Caenorhabditis elegans: one gene and its partner. The protein of the gene in region 2 purifies or fractionates together with the protein of the main gene of each other region. This does not show direct contact. Each region holds a gene or a part of one and is shown on either strand. Other genes may lie near its edges.

Region 1 (6,333 bases), on a different chromosome or scaffold from region 2:
TTCCTGGTATGGCTAACATACAATACCCATTTATCATTTCCAGTAATGATATCTTTAACCCAGTCCGTTGTTCGTTTCCTAGTGAGCAGCGAAAGAGAGAGGTCACAAAGCAATTTTTCTGAGAATCGGACAATTTGTGAGGAACGAGTTGACCGAACTTTTCTATCTTTCCGGTTTTTTGGAGATGGTTGATGATGATTCTTTGGGGATGCTTGAGAGTCGCAGAAAGTTCGCGTGACGTTGCTCTTGAATCATCTTCCAGGGCTCTCGAAATATCCTCATCGATATCCAAACGAGAGCGATCTTATCTTGGTTTATCATCGAGATGGTAGTTCTTTTTCGTGAACTTTTCGAACCAAAACTTCATGGTATTGTAGGTGACAGAGTTCTTGCCTAACACTACACACATGTTACGACGAGCTTCGTTGCAATTGCAGCTTTGGGGGAACTCGTACAGAAAAACCCCTCGGAGGGCGTGACGTTCGGCGAGCAAATTCTCGGTCATTTTGAACAGCACCGAAAAGTTTTTTCAAATATATTAAACATGCACATTACGCACTGTGCAAATAAAAAAACAGAATTGGAAAAAAATAAATTAACGCTGAGCAATGAAGAAACAAACAAATTTTGCAAAGACTTTTTGACCAACCTAATATTTTTTTGAATCGCCAAAATTCCTGAAATTCCAAATTAGTTATGAAATTTACTTTATTGGAAACTTTGGTCTTCTAAAAATATTGTCTCACGTCCGGAAATGCCTCCAAAAAGTGGGTCTCAACACGACACTTTATTGTAAAATGTGTACGCAAAAACTATGAAAAATCTATGCCAATTTTGAAACTACAGTACTCTTTAAAGGCGCATGAGTTTTCGGATATAACAAAAGCCTGCCGTTTCGAGACCAGACACCTTATTTTTGCAGCTGAAATCTCAAATTTTCAGATTAGGATAACATTTCGAAATTTCATAAGTTTCCATAGCAATTGCAGATTCGTGGCGGGACCCAGCGTCGTTGTGAAAAACAAAATGAAAGGCACAAAAGTATTCACGGTGTGTGAGTGGAACTGAATCATTGGGTAATCCCAAAGTTATCCGTTTTTGTTTCAATTCGAGATAGTATAGAAGATGAAGTGACGCAGACAGGCTTTGTGTCGATGACGAATTGTATGTTGAAATGGAGAAGAAACACGGTTTCAAATACGGGCGGTAGGCACAAAAAAACAACAAGAAGAAGGAGACAATTCGTGTCGGGAACAGGGAAAGCTTATTGTTTTAGGGTGGCGACCAGTATTCAATCGGAAATCAGAATTCAACACGGATTAGGAATTAGGAGAAATTGAGACGACGACGGAAGCATCAGACAAAAACACGACCAAGAGTACACAAATGTACCCGAACGAGATTGAAGCAAGAGAAACAAGGTCAGAGAAATTTGGGGGAAGATGGTCAAGAGTAATTATGAATTGAAAAGAGAAAATTCATAAAAAGTAGCAGGTGGTGTGTTACCTTCTCCTTATTCTTCTGTTTCTTCATATTTTCCTGCTCACTTAGAAGATCTCGAGGCCATTTTTGACAGCTCCGAGACCTCCACCACCGGTGTTTATTGACTTTCCGTGTGTGTGTGTGTGGGATCACTGACAGCGCATTGCCACGTCACGTTGGCGATCTGATCAGGGAACAAAACACGTGTCATTAAAATGATCGAAAGATCAGCTGGGATTTTCGGGGGCTCGCGAGAGCTTTCAGATGATTTTAGGCGAAAAGTTGTAAATTTTAGCGATTTTTGCCCAGAAAGAAGTCTCGCAACGAAAATCGGCAACTTTCCGCTAAAAATACCGTTTCTGGTCTCGAAACGACAAATCTTTGTTAAACACAAAATTGTGCGCGCCTTTAAGGAGTACTGTAGTTTCAAACTTTTTTTGGGGTTACTGTAATTCCTAAAGGCGCACACTCGATTTTAAAATATTTCGTTCTTAGTGAGAGTCCTAAAATTAATATCTGGCTTTACAAAAAGCTTTTTTCAATCTTTCAAAAACAATCAATAAAAATACCGTAACCCTTTAAAGGTACACGTCTGCCAAAATAAAAATGTTTAGACTACAGTAACCAAGCCGTAAAGGCGCATTCCATAAATTTTTGTTGAATTGGAAAATGTTATGCGCCTTTAAAGAGTACTGTAATTCGAATTTGGGGAATTTTCATCGATTTTTGATAGTTTTTTTTTTCAAAAAAAATTATATTCGATGAAAACTTCGTAACAACAAAATTTGTCGCGTCGAGACCATTTACCGTATTTTTGATGCAAAAATCGCCAAATTTCGCGTATGTATAATATTATAAGTAAATTTTCAAACCGAACACCTTAAGAATAAAATATTAAAAGTTCACACATGAGCTGGTGACCCCACGAAAAGTTCTCCCCTATTCAATGAAAAACGTGCGAACAATGTGCATAATCTAGTGCAAACACTCGAGAACACTATACTCTCTTGGCATCGCCCACCACCCGAATTCTGTAGAAGAAACTTAACGGAAAGAACTTTTAAAAAACTGGAAAGAAACGAAGAATCTATATACTTTTCCGTCATTTTCACAGTTACATAATGATAATTAGCTTGCGCTAGCTAGTAGCCCTATTGCAGTGAAACTTCGTAATGAATAAGATGAAGAATGCTAGTGGGGAGGGTAGGCAACAGGGGGTCTTGTGTATATAAATTACATAATGGACGGAGCGGATGAGCGAAAGATGTCTATGCTTATTTTATACTTTGAAAAGCAAACAATTGAGAGGTGAATTGGGGAGAGATTTACAGGAAACTGATGTATGTAATTCAAACCTATTTGGTGGTTTTTATAGAAAATAATTTAGTGGGATTGCTCATGACACAAGAATGGAGTTGAAAAATATGGCAATATAAATAAATACACAATATACACATTATATAAATTATGGAAATTTAAAGATCTTCTAGCAGAATGCGACACGATCGATAAACTCCATTTCGTTCATGCCCAGCTCGATATTGTCCAGTGATGCCGCGTGGATTGCAGCAGTCACCGCAGAAACTTCCTTCTTTCGGTAGAGCTCGACGCGTTCGAATCCTGTATCAGAGATCGAGTCGAGGAAGCCGCTCATCAGATTTTTATAAGAATCGAACATTCGTCCGAAGAGCAGAATTTTCAGTGTTTTCTCTTTCTCAGTGGGGGGATATTGACGCAAGACGTTTACAACGAGATTTCCGAGTGTGATTCCGGCGTTGTGGAAGACTTCGGCGATTACAGGGAGCTGTTCATACTCTTCCACTTGCTCATTTTGCTCTTCCTCTTCTCCCTCTTCCTGTTTTGTAGTGTCCACGTCGCCAATCATATTATCTGAAAAAAACATGACTTGAAATAAATATTTGATTTTTTTTGGATTTTATTTGTTGATATTTTGACAAAAATTGATTTTTTGAATTTTTAAAAAAATATTTTAACGAAAAATTTATTTTTTTGAATTTATTTAAAAAATATTTTGACGAAAAATTGATTTTTTTTGAATTTTTAAAAAATAGTTTGGCAAAACATAGATTTTTTGAATTAAAACAAAATATTTTAACGAAAAATTGATTTTTTTTAATTTTTAAAAAAATATTCTGTCGAAAAATTGATTTTTTAAAAAGTTTTTTTGATGTGACGAAAATTTTTATTGTGACGAAAATTGATTTTTTGAATAAAAAAAATATTTTTACGAAAGATTGATTCTTTGAATTTAAAAAAAAAATCCTCGGGGAGTACACGAGCTGCAAAATCAGTAGAGTAAACCGGAGTTTTTACTTACGTCTGGCCAACTTTTCGGTGAACAGCGCCAGACGATGCTTATAATAATTGGAGAAGCATATTTCATTCATTTGAAGCAGGTCTCGGTCATTCTTCATTGAAAATACCGTCTTGAACACGTCTTTTATTTTGTCCGTCACACTGCTCTTGTTGCCTCGGCTCATCATGTTCTCCGTGCCACGCTCAACGTCATTGACAAACATCTGGAAGGATGTACGTCCACACCAGTAGGCACCTCCATGTCCAATCATGCCTGGTGTGATGTCGGGCTTCTTCATTGTACCGTCCTTTAAGACCAGTCTGCAGAATGCGTCGACGCCGGCTTGAAGAGCAATTCCTTCTTAATAAAAATGTTGAATTTAATTTATTTTTCTCAAGATTCGAAATTAAATTTACCTTCTCCTTTCTGGAAATGAGCCGGTGCAACTGCGTCGATTTCGGACATAACATGGAAATCTTCACAGATTCTCTTCTCAGGCGCCACGGAAACATATTTATTCCGGAAAAAAGTCACGAGATCGTCGACTTTATCACCCCGATCAGTCTGGGCGAACAGGACGACGACGCGTCGAATGACGCCCTTCTCTCTCCAATTGTCCTTGCCAGTCGCTTTTCTCATCGCAGCTTCGACGCCTGAAGCGATCGTCTCCGAAGCTACTCTGGGCTTGAAGTAGTGAAGATCAGTTCCGACGACGGTTCTCCAGTAGCGAGTATTCGCTGAATCGATGACGACGATGCGGGTGCAGGCTAAGTTTCCCTCAACTCCGCAGTAGAAATCCTTCAGCGGTTTCGGTGGATCCACTCGAGCTGGAATCTGCATCGGTGGTTTGATGACGTGGATCGTGGTGCTTTTTCGGTTTCCTTTGCCATTTTTTGTCATCGTTGGAACTGAAAAATCGAACGAATAATGTTATATTTAGAAAACTATGAAAAAAACGAAAACTAATTTAACAGCGATTATATTCGACAATTCTGCAAAATAACCCAACATTTTCAACTAAAAATTATCTGAAAATACCATTTATTCCAGTTGAAACACTTGGAAAATGCTCAAAATTGATAATTTGCAACTTCCAGACCATTTTTGAGCATTTCTCCGAATGTTTCAGCTGGAATAAATGATATTATCAGTTAAATCAAGTGGTGCAATAGATCATTTTGTCGAAACGCCGTAAAAACCCCTGAATTGGATAAAAAGCAAATCTGAGTGGAAAACGCCTCGGAAAACCAATTTTTAGCGCTGCAGCGAGGGAAAATAGATCAAATTTGAATGCTAGAATATTTCCCGCATTTTATTTTGCAAAAATTCTGCTTTAATTCTGACAAAACCCGCCTGATCTACAAAAAACCAATAAAATAATTCAAAAATGCAAAATTCTGGCGATGTGCGCAGAAAAGTGGGCGGAGTTTGATTGGCAAACTGGTGCGCAGTTTTTTGAAGTTTTTTTCTTTATTGATTTATAAAAATTTATTCATGAAATATATAATTAAAAATGTACAAATTTGATATAACAAAGTTAAATCCGAAATTTAGCTACAAATTAATCTCCCTCAGCATCTTTTTCTCTACATTCTGCTGCAAGAAAATCTCGTTCCGCTCCTTCGCAGCGAGCACAGCTGCGCCAACCGCAGGTGAATCAGATGGCTCGTACATTACGATTTTCTCGATTCCAGATCCACTCAAAGAAGCCACAAATCCTTGTTGGAGAGCATCCCATGATTGAAAGACTCCTCCGATCTGGACAATGCTGAGAACTTTTCGATCTTCCTGAAAATTCAGAATTAATGTTTTAAAAATTTTAAATTTGATTACATTGGTGAGATACTTTGCCACAGTTCTCACATGTTTTCCGAGAACATCTCCAGCTCTTCTGAAAGCTTCTGCCACAGCCGCATCGTCAGTTCGTTCCGCGAGAGAAACTGTAAAATCGGCAATTTTATGCTTCTCAAATTTAGAGTACAAATAGTCGAGCATTCTAGTTTTATCAGTAATATTATAGTGTTTGAAGAGCAGCTGTTTGATAACATCAGTATTAAAGTTCTCCTCGAACCCGTCTTCCGCGTCGAAAAGCATCTGGATCGCAGTTCGAGCGATCCAAAATGCACTTCCTCCGTCTCCAATTTGATGTCCCCAGCCGCCGGCTCCTTTTACAGATCCGTCACGAATTTTTAGTCGACACGAAGATCCGGTCCCAGCAATCAGTACAATCCCATTTTCCTCTCCTGGAAAATTGGCCAAAAGAGTCATCACAGCGTCGGAAGTCAAGTAGAAGTTTTCCGTGACATTTCCATGATTCTGACGGAAGTAATCAACGAATTTCTTGTTAAATTCCTCATCTTCGGCACCAGAAAGCCCTAGACCGAGAGCCTTGAGATTCTTAATGTCCAGCTTCTCCTTCTCGAAAACTTCCAGAATCCAATCAGCTATTCGTTTGCAAACGATCGTGTGATCCGTCAAAAAGAAATTGGTTCCTTCTGTCGATGAAGTGTATCTCTGATTAGTGTCTGCGTCGA
Region 2 (9,028 bases):
ATGGAGACTTTGAAGATCTCATTCTTGCGCTGATGGACGCACCGGCAATCTACGACGCCAAGCAGTTGCACCGTGCAATGGAGGGTCTCGGCACGAAAGAATCCGTGCTTATCGAGATTATGACGTCAAGGACTAATGCTCAGATTCAACAAGTTCGTGATGCCTATAAGATGCTCTTCAAGAAGGATTTGGAGAGAGATTTGATCGGTGAAACCAGCGGGCATTTCAAGGTAAACTTTTCGAAATAATTTTAACGACCGTGGCCGAGGAAAATTTAAAAACTCGGCCTCCAAAACTCCAACTTCCATTTTGAGGGTGGAGCTTAACAAACCACGCTCATTTATTGTGTTTAGCAGCATTTTTGAATTCTTCTATGAGCTTCCTGAAATTTTCACATAAAAAAAACATAATTACGACAGTAATTGTGAGCTCCGTCCCTGTATGGGTGGCCGGTCATGACCATTAAATGGGAGGAGCCTAGCACAATTTTCCAAAACTTTTTTGATTAATAGCTGTCCTTTGAATAACGTGCAAAGTTTGCTCCTTTCGAGTACCGTATTTCTTCTATTAATATAGCTGCAATACTATTGTTCGATGGTCTTCCCGCTTGCAATACTAATAGGGAGTGCAAGACTATTAGGGAGTGCAATACTAATTTTCAGAACATTTTTCTGACTTTGAGCTTACTATTTTTTTTCTGAAAAAACTCGAACCTTGTGTGAAAATTCAGAGAATTTGATTGTAATTGCAACAAAAAGGTGTAATAACTTCAATTTCATTGAAATTTTTCCAAAAATTGTTGCACAGTAGGCAAAAAATGTTGTTAAAATCTCAAAATTAGTGAGGTGATTTTGTACCAAAAAAAAATAGACGCAAGACTATTAGGGAGTGCAACACTAATAGGGAGTGCAATACTAATTTTCGGAGGGTGTTCAAGGAGCAATACTAATAGGGAGTGCAAGTCTAATAGGGAGGCTTCTGAACTTCCTGAATAGAAAAAGCTAACCACAAAAATGCTTCATCACCAGAAACGTGAAGCTCTCTCCTTTGAGTAAGCGTGGTTTATTAGCTCCGCCCATTTAATGGTTCAAACTTTAAATAGTAGATTTTCAAAGTTTTTTCTTAGAAAATATCACAATCTCGTATAATTTTCAGCGTCTCCTCGTCTCCTTGTGCGCCGGCGGCCGTGACGAATCCAGCCAAACCGACGGTCTCCGAGCCAACCAAGACGCCCGCCGCCTGCTCCAAGCCGGCGAGAAACGTCTCGGAACGGACGAATCGACGTTCAACGCGATCCTCGCAAGTCAGAACTTCAGTCAACTGCGATTAGTGTTCGAGGAATACCAAAAAGCCTCGAATCACTCAATCGAGAAGGCCATCGAATTCGAGTTCAGCGGTGACATTCGTGACGGACTTCTCGCAGTGATTGCCGTCATCCGTAACAGGCCGGCCTACTTTGCAAAGCTTCTCCATGACAGTATGAAGGGTCTCGGCACGCGTGACAATGACCTGATTAGATTGTGCGTGACACGTGCTGAATACGATATGGGTGACATTCGGAACATGTTCCAATCATTGTACAGAACATCGCTGGAAAATATGATCAAGGGAGACTGCTCGGGAGCTTATAAAGAGGGATTGATCGCTTTGGTTAATGGAAATCGTGGATAATTTCGCTTAATTTTTCTATTTTCCATTTCATTTTTCATTTTTAATAACAACATGCAATCTCAACTTGTACGTGGTGTCAAAGTGTTCCATTTTGATTTGATCTTCGAAAAATGCGGGTGAAGAGACGCAGACTTTTCAACTGATTTCGCATGGTTAAGAGTGTGCTGACGTCACACATTCATGGGGAAAAATTACCGCATTTTTTGTAGATCAAACCTCATTGAGACAAATTGACACCACGTGAACTTGTATTTACCATTTCCCTCTTTTCTCTTATCACACACAAAAAATTACGCATCTGGCTTTTTATCAAAATAATCATTTCTTCTATTCCATTTTTGTAAGGCTTTACTGTAGGTATGCCTGCCTACGAGGCGGCCTGCGCCTTCCCAAAATTCATCCCGAAATTATAATTAGAACACTAAATTCAAAAGCTGTCTAAAGAAATACGCAATTTATTCATGTAATTTAAAGAAGACATAAAATTGAAAAAAAAAAACAAATGTCCCGTTTTGTTTCACACAAGTAATATTCACAGTAGGATATGAGACAAAAAAAACGAAAATAAATGTATATTAAATCGATCAATCAATGATTGGATAGGGTTCTACTGCTACTGCTTCTGCTGCCTTCGGGCTCCAATATTTCTTCTGTCGTCAGTTCTGCCACGCCGTACTGGAAAAAAGGAATTTTAAAACCCAATTTTAGGATATTGAAATATATTTTTTCTAGATTTTCTTTAAATTATTTTTAAACCCGAACCTTTCTAATGCTATCCTCGAAACGCTGTAGAAGCCAGTTCATATCCCGTGATTCATGCTTCTTCTTCTTCACAGATTCCAGCATATTCATCATTGAAGTGTGTCGTTGGCAATTTCGCATACGAAGATATTTCCATTGCTCCTGCGCTTTGCGGATGTTCAGCATGAAATCATCCATCCTTTCCTTATCCTCCGTTCGCTTCCGCAGCAGACGCTTGTTCTCCTTCTCCGTCTCCTTCACGTTGCGATCCATAATCTCGTAGAACTCGTCCTTCTGCTGAAGCTTCCACATGTATTCACGCTTTTTCCTGAAAATTAATAAAATTGAAATAATTTTTTTTCTATTTATTAGTCTCAAAATAGCAATAAAAACAGAATTTCGTCAAGAGATTCTTCAAAAATTTAGAACGGACAAATTTCAGCTAAAATCTCCAATTTTGCCGATTTTCCGTGTCACAGCCAATTTCCGGTCACGGAAAATAGCCAAAATTCAATATTTTAGCCAAAATTAGGAGGGGTTTTTTTTTTGAAATTTTGAGTGATTTCTGTATGAAATTCGCTAATTTGTGCTTATTTCTAAATTTTTGCTAATTTTTCAAAAAGTGTAAGGTTTTTTTCCAGAAAAAAAATTGTAACCATCAAAAACCAAGAATTTAAGCCAAACACTCTTTGGAATTTTTTAAAATAAAAACCTACTTTTCCAGTTCGTGCTGAGCTTGCTCCAGCTGCTCGCGGAGTCCCTTCTCGATCTTCGTGCTGTTGGAGGATTCCACCTCTCGAATTTCGTCCAACTGCACAATCCGGTGGCGGAGCTCATCGTTTTCGGTCAACATATCCTGGAAAAAACTTTAATTTTTTTGAAATTCTTTTTTTTTCTTTAATAATAATTTAGATTTTCGCCGATATCCACCGAATATATAGTGACCAAATCTCACGTTATAATAAGTGCGAAACTCTTCCGCTGCCGCCTCCATCTCCAACGACTTCTTCGTAAGCACCTCGTTGTCCGACTCTTTCTCTCGCAACTGGCTCAACAGCATCTCGCCGGCCTTCTGTACCTTCTTCATCTGCTCATCTTGCTGCTCCACCAGCGCCTTCGTCTTTAGAGTCAGCCACGTCCAAATCCTTTCAAGCATCTCTTCCGAATTGGCACCAGATAGGATTGACTTGAGAAGCTGAGAGATTTTGCGGAAAGCCTCTGCCGTGTGAAACTCTGGATCGCGCAGGCTCTCCTGGAAGCTTTCATGCTCAGCGAGCAACTCCCCAATTTTTTCGATAGTCCGTCGAAGTTTCTCATCTAGGTGCGACGAGCGTCGGGAATCCTGGAGCGATGAGGGAGCTTCGGATACCAGTGACACTTCCGGGCTCACCATGAGCTGTTCTTCCACATCCGTTTGCATCCAGGCATCCGTCGTTGCAGGAGAAGGATCTGTCTGCGAAGGAAAGTCTCGGAACGATCCTGAAATGATCTTTCCAGGATAAGGTTCCAACTCCAGCAAGCGTTGTTTGTAGCTCTCGATATCCTCGTGCATCTGACCGGTGACTGCATAGAATTGATTCCGAGCATTGATTTCAAACGTCTCATGCTCCTCTCTCGCCTTCGCCAGTTTCCGCGTTAAATCAGCCAGCTCCAAATCCTTGCTACGAGCTTCCATCTCCATAGCCTCGAGCTTCTCCTTCTGCTCAGCCGTGTCCTTTCTCAGCCTCTCGAGCTCATTGTTCGCCGCCGCCTCTGATCGAATATATCCTTCGATTCTGCCATCCAGGTCGCGTTCCATCTTCATGACTCGCTCCAATTCCAGCTGCAGTAGGTACTCACGGTGCTCGGATTCAGCTAGCTTCTGCTGAAGCTGGCCAACGGAGCCAGCTTCCGACGACTGATGAGCTAGCTGTTGGCGGAGATGATCGATTTCTCGCTTTCCCTTCTGAACTTCTTCAAGCAGTTCCGCCGAGTCTTGAGCTTCTCGGAGGAGCTGAAAAATTGGATTTTTGTGATTTTAATTGAAAAATTTTTCATCAGGTTTTCACATTTTTATATCAATTTCACCTGGAAATTCGAGATTTCTAATGAGCTTCATTGCAAAATATTTCAGTTAAAAAAATTATTTTTTATTTTTCTAGCTGAAAATTCGAGATTTTTCCATTTTTAGTTCACTTTTTATATTAAAAAAAAATTATACAGTATCTATTTTTTCAGTTTAAACTGCAGCTCCAGTGCAGTTTCTAAGCTCCAACTGCAGTTTCTAAGCTCCAATTTTAAAGCTTTTTCCGTGTAAAGATCGGAAAAGAGTTTTTATTTATAATTTTACAAAATTTACCTTCTGATTCTGCTCATCAAGCCTGGTGACATCCGCATCCTGCTTCTTCCTCCGCCTCTTCTCCTCCGAAATCTTCTCGTTGAGCCCAGCGACTTGATGTTGAGAGTTGCGAAGCTTCACGGCCATCTCATCCAGCTCATTCTTCAGGTTAATCTCACTTTCAAGGAGCACTTGCTTCGACTCAGACAGATACACGTTCTCCTTCACAATCGTCTTATTTTCTTTCTGTATCTTCTCCAACTGCTCAATGGCCTCCTTCTCTTTTTCCGAAACTTTTTCTAAACGCTTCTCGAGCTCCGCCATCTGACCCTCGTGCTCCTTTCTCAAATCTTCCATGTCTTTCTCCAGCTGCAGTTTCAACTCCTTCTGTCGATCAAGCTCGGCTTCAAGTTCTCCTAGCATCTCCTGTAGCTGCTCCACCTTCTCCCAAGCCTCCTTCCTCTGCTTCTCCAAGTGCTCTCCCTGAACTTTCGCCTCGTCAAGCTCGAAATCGTGCGTATTCTTGTCCTCCAGAAGCTTCCGATTCTCCGCTTGAACCTCTTCCAGTTCCTTACGCTTCTTGTTGAGCCTTGACTGGAGCTCTTCGATCTTTCCTTCGTACTTCACAAGCTTCTCCTGACTAGTCTTGAGCTTCTTCTCCAAATCTGCACGCAGCTTGTTCTCATCTTGCTCGAACTGAGCTTTCAGCTTCTCATAATCGAAAAGGCGATTTTCCAGATCGGATTTCTTCTTGCCAATGACCTCGATCTCCGAGTGTAGCTGATCCACTTCCTGAAAAAATAAAATATTTGAAATTTCAACAATTACGCGGAAGTTTAGGGATTTTTGGAACGAAAAACTGAAATATTTCACAAAAAAAACGAAAAAATCAGCAGTTTTTGTCATTTTCAAAACTTTTAAATTATTATTCTGGACGAAAAAAAACATTTTTGTAGTTTTTCAGAATTTCCTGACTCTTTTAATAGTATAATATCCGGCAATTTTCAGATTTTTCAATGAAAAATCCTCTTTTTTTAACTGAAATTTGCATAATTTTACAATTTTTACAAAATTTTCGACGGTTTTCACAAGTTTTCTACCAATTTACGTACAATCTGCAAGTTCGCGTTGACCACATTGACATGATCATCCTTATCAGTCTGAATGTTGGCGTCCATCTTCTCAGTGTCCACTTGGATGGTCGCGGTGGCCGTGAACACTTTCGCAGGTGGTTTGGAGTCGCTTATCAGCATCTGGAATGTGAGAAATGAAGATTTTAATCGATTTTTAATTTTTAAATGGCATATTTTATTAGTTTTCCACGTACATTTTCCATTTTAGCCTCCATAATCGTGCGATCTTCATCATTTTTGATAAATGACAAGAGCTCTTTTTTTATTTGTTCACTGGATTTTACTGTAATCGGATCCAAATCGGGCTTCTCATCAAACACAAGCCTTGGGATCACTGGAATGACATTCTCTTTATCCACCAAATCCATCCTTCTCGATTCCTCACGCAGCGAGCAATTCTCCTCTCGAAGTGACTCGTTTTCACCGCGAAGAGACTCATTTTGATCTCGGAGCAACGAATTCGCCCGATCCTTTTTCTTGAGCTCTTTCGACGCCTCCAGTAGAGATTTAACACCGTCTAAAGGGTACACAGGATATGTTAATTGATAGAATTGCCTTGGAACCGTACCGAGAACAAAATGCGAATCGTTTTCAATTGTGTCGGAGCCCGTCGACTCGATGATCGAGAGATCGTTTCGGAAAGTCGCGAAATTTTCCTTCATCGATCGGCTTTTGTTGCCGCGAATCGGCGTCGATGTCAACGGGTATAGCTGTGCATTGTTCGGCGAATTGGGTCGGGACTGAAAATAAATTATATAAATATATACAAATTTAGCTGAAAACTAGGCTTAAAATCAACTCACCGTGGATGGAATTTCATCTCGAGGCGTCGGATACCCACTGTCTGTCGGTGGAATTTCTCCCATTATCTGCAAAGTCTGATAGATCGCGGGAGAAATTTATAATATTCAAAGCTCGAGCCAAAACGTGTGAACACCGTGACGCGCAACTGCGTACACTGCGTAAGTGTGCAACAGTTAAATGGTAAACGGTAATTATAATAACAAAAGAGGATAAAGACCGGGCCAAGAGGGAAGACGAACAAAAAGGGACACTCAATATTCCCTTTTTGTGCGTCTTCTCTTCTGGTTCGGTCTGCAAAGATGCAATTTCCGACAAAAAATATTGTTCTTTTGAAGAAAAACCGCAAGAACGAGCGCCCCGTATGTAAATTCCGCTTTAAAACTTTGAGAATGAAAAATTAATTTAATTTAATTTGAAATTTTGAACTAAAAAATCATGCTCCGCAAACACCGCGACGCACAATTGCAGATACTACTGTAGTTGGTACGAGACCCGAGACCCGAAGAACTCGGGGAATGTCCAATTGGGGAGACCCGAAGAACTCGGGGGATGTCCAATTGGGGGGATTACCAACTCGGGGGATTGGCCCCGCCCACAGAACCGTGGCTTGCAATACGCCCATTTCTGCAACTGCCGCACGATTTTAAAACTGTATTTTTCTCAATAGAGCGAGAAATAACAAGAAAAAATAATTTTAAAACCGTGCGGAGGTTGCAGAAATGGGCGTATTGTAAGGCACGGTTCTGTGGGCGTGGCCAATCCCCCGAGTTGGGAATCCACCCAGTTGGACATCCTCCGAGTTCCTTCGGGTCTCGAAATTTTGAACTAAAAAATCATGCTCCGCAAACACCGCGACGCACAATTGCAGATACTACTGTAGTTGGTACATTTTGAAATTAATTCGATTAAATTTTTTTTTCGAAAATTGCTTAAATTTACTTTTACCAGTTTCATTTTCTTTGTTTTTTATTTACTTTAACTGAAAAATAACTAAATAGCATTGTTAGACGTGAAATTATGTGATAAAATCAATGTCCACGGCGCCGGAAACCAGTTTGTCACCCAATGAAGGCATAGAACAACACAACAGAAGAGATGAGCACTCGTAACAGTTTTACTACACTAAATATATTCACACAAACACAAAAATGTGATAAAAAATCGTACAGAAAATGTAAAGAAAATAAAATAAGCGGGTTGAACACGATAAGAGAATTTTTGTTGTGCAAACTGAGCTCTTGAAACGAACGAAAGACTGTGGTATGGACATCTTCTATTTACAATCGGCCTAATTTCTAATATTCGTACTCTCCAAAATCGTCGTCGTGAACTGAATCATCTCTGTAAATATTAACTGTAATAGGATCTTGGAAAAATTATTTATTTATTTAATAAAATATATAACTTTTTGGTAACATTTCGGCAACTGAAAGGCTGACAAGATCGGAGGAGCAATTAAAGCGGGGTTAGTGGAAGGGGCAATTATGGTTTCAGGAAATCATGCACAGGGTCCCAATGTGGGCGGCGAGAATGGAACAATCAATGGACGGGGAATCGAATTAGAAAAAAAGATTCTTAAAGGACAACACAACACCTACTGCTTGGGCCGTGACGGCTGAGAAGACTGGAATACTGACGAGGAGGACATTAGGTTCTGAATGTACTGGCCGAGCACTTGATTTTCCGATCTCAACTTCAAACTCTCTTCCTTGACAGATTCGACGCGTTGTGAGAGATCTAAAATTTAAAAAATCAATATAGAAAAAGTGAAATTTCTGTGAATTACCATCCAAAGTATTCTGAAGTTCCAGCACTTGTGTGATCATCCGGGCTTTCTCTTCTGGATCCTCTGGTGGTTCCTCCTTCGGAAGTGGCTGGGCAGCTCTCGGAGTTTTCCCACCGCTAATTATAGTTACAGTGTCGTCTGGAAAATTAAACAATATTTTAAAAAAAGTTTATTTTCAGGAAATTCAATTTCAGAACACTTACCATCATCAGCGAGAGGAATATCATCTTGCTCGGTTTTCTGGCTCATCGTAATACTCGTTGTAACAGAAGTAGGGCTTAGAAGACGTACTGCGGAGCCAGCGGCTAGTGGACAATCGAAAAATCAATAAACGAGAGATGTGCGGCGAGCGTGAGAGACGCAGAGAATTGTCTATCGCCAACTTGGCAATGCAAATGCGCTCCGATGTATTCTTCGTGTATTTTGCCACTTTACATCCATTTTTCTTGCTTTTTCATCTGTTTTTCACGATTTCAATGAAAATTCATCGCAATTTTGCTAATTTTTACATTGAAAATAAGAAAATTTCATTGGGAAAGTAGGAAAAATTAATAAAATTAGTGTAAAATCGATTAA

What was found.
Region 1: the proteins of sas-7 (region 2) and W06B4.1 fractionate together in Caenorhabditis elegans (co-fractionation; one large-scale study listed by BioGRID). This does not show direct contact.

Annotation. Positions count from the first base shown.
Region 1 is NC_003280.10:4,469,969-4,476,301, reverse strand, and holds W06B4.1 (Lipase_3 domain-containing protein), read right to left. Parts: upstream 4,708-6,333; 5' UTR 4,700-4,707; coding exon 4,216-4,699; intron 4,160-4,215; coding exon 3,821-4,159; intron 3,373-3,820; coding exon 2,969-3,372; 3' UTR 2,748-2,968; downstream 1-2,747. Other genes in the region: W06B4.2 (N-acetyl-D-glucosamine kinase), read right to left, coding at 5,354-5,587, 5,633-6,333.
Region 2 is NC_003281.10:10,318,759-10,327,786, reverse strand, and holds sas-7 (Spindle assembly abnormal protein 7), read right to left. Parts: upstream 6,739-9,028; 5' UTR 6,729-6,738; coding exon 6,666-6,728; intron 6,603-6,665; coding exon 6,431-6,602; intron 6,380-6,430; coding exon 6,057-6,379; intron 5,983-6,056; coding exon 5,842-5,982; intron 5,522-5,841; coding exon 4,751-5,521; intron 4,406-4,750; coding exon 3,368-4,405; intron 3,269-3,367; coding exon 3,129-3,268; intron 2,741-3,128; coding exon 2,434-2,740; intron 2,347-2,433; coding exon 2,260-2,346; 3' UTR 2,112-2,259; downstream 1-2,111. Other genes in the region: nex-2 (Annexin), read left to right, coding at 1-230, 1,156-1,671; unc-69 (Short coiled-coil protein homolog), read right to left, coding at 7,789-7,996, 8,265-8,403, 8,453-8,590, 8,656-8,701.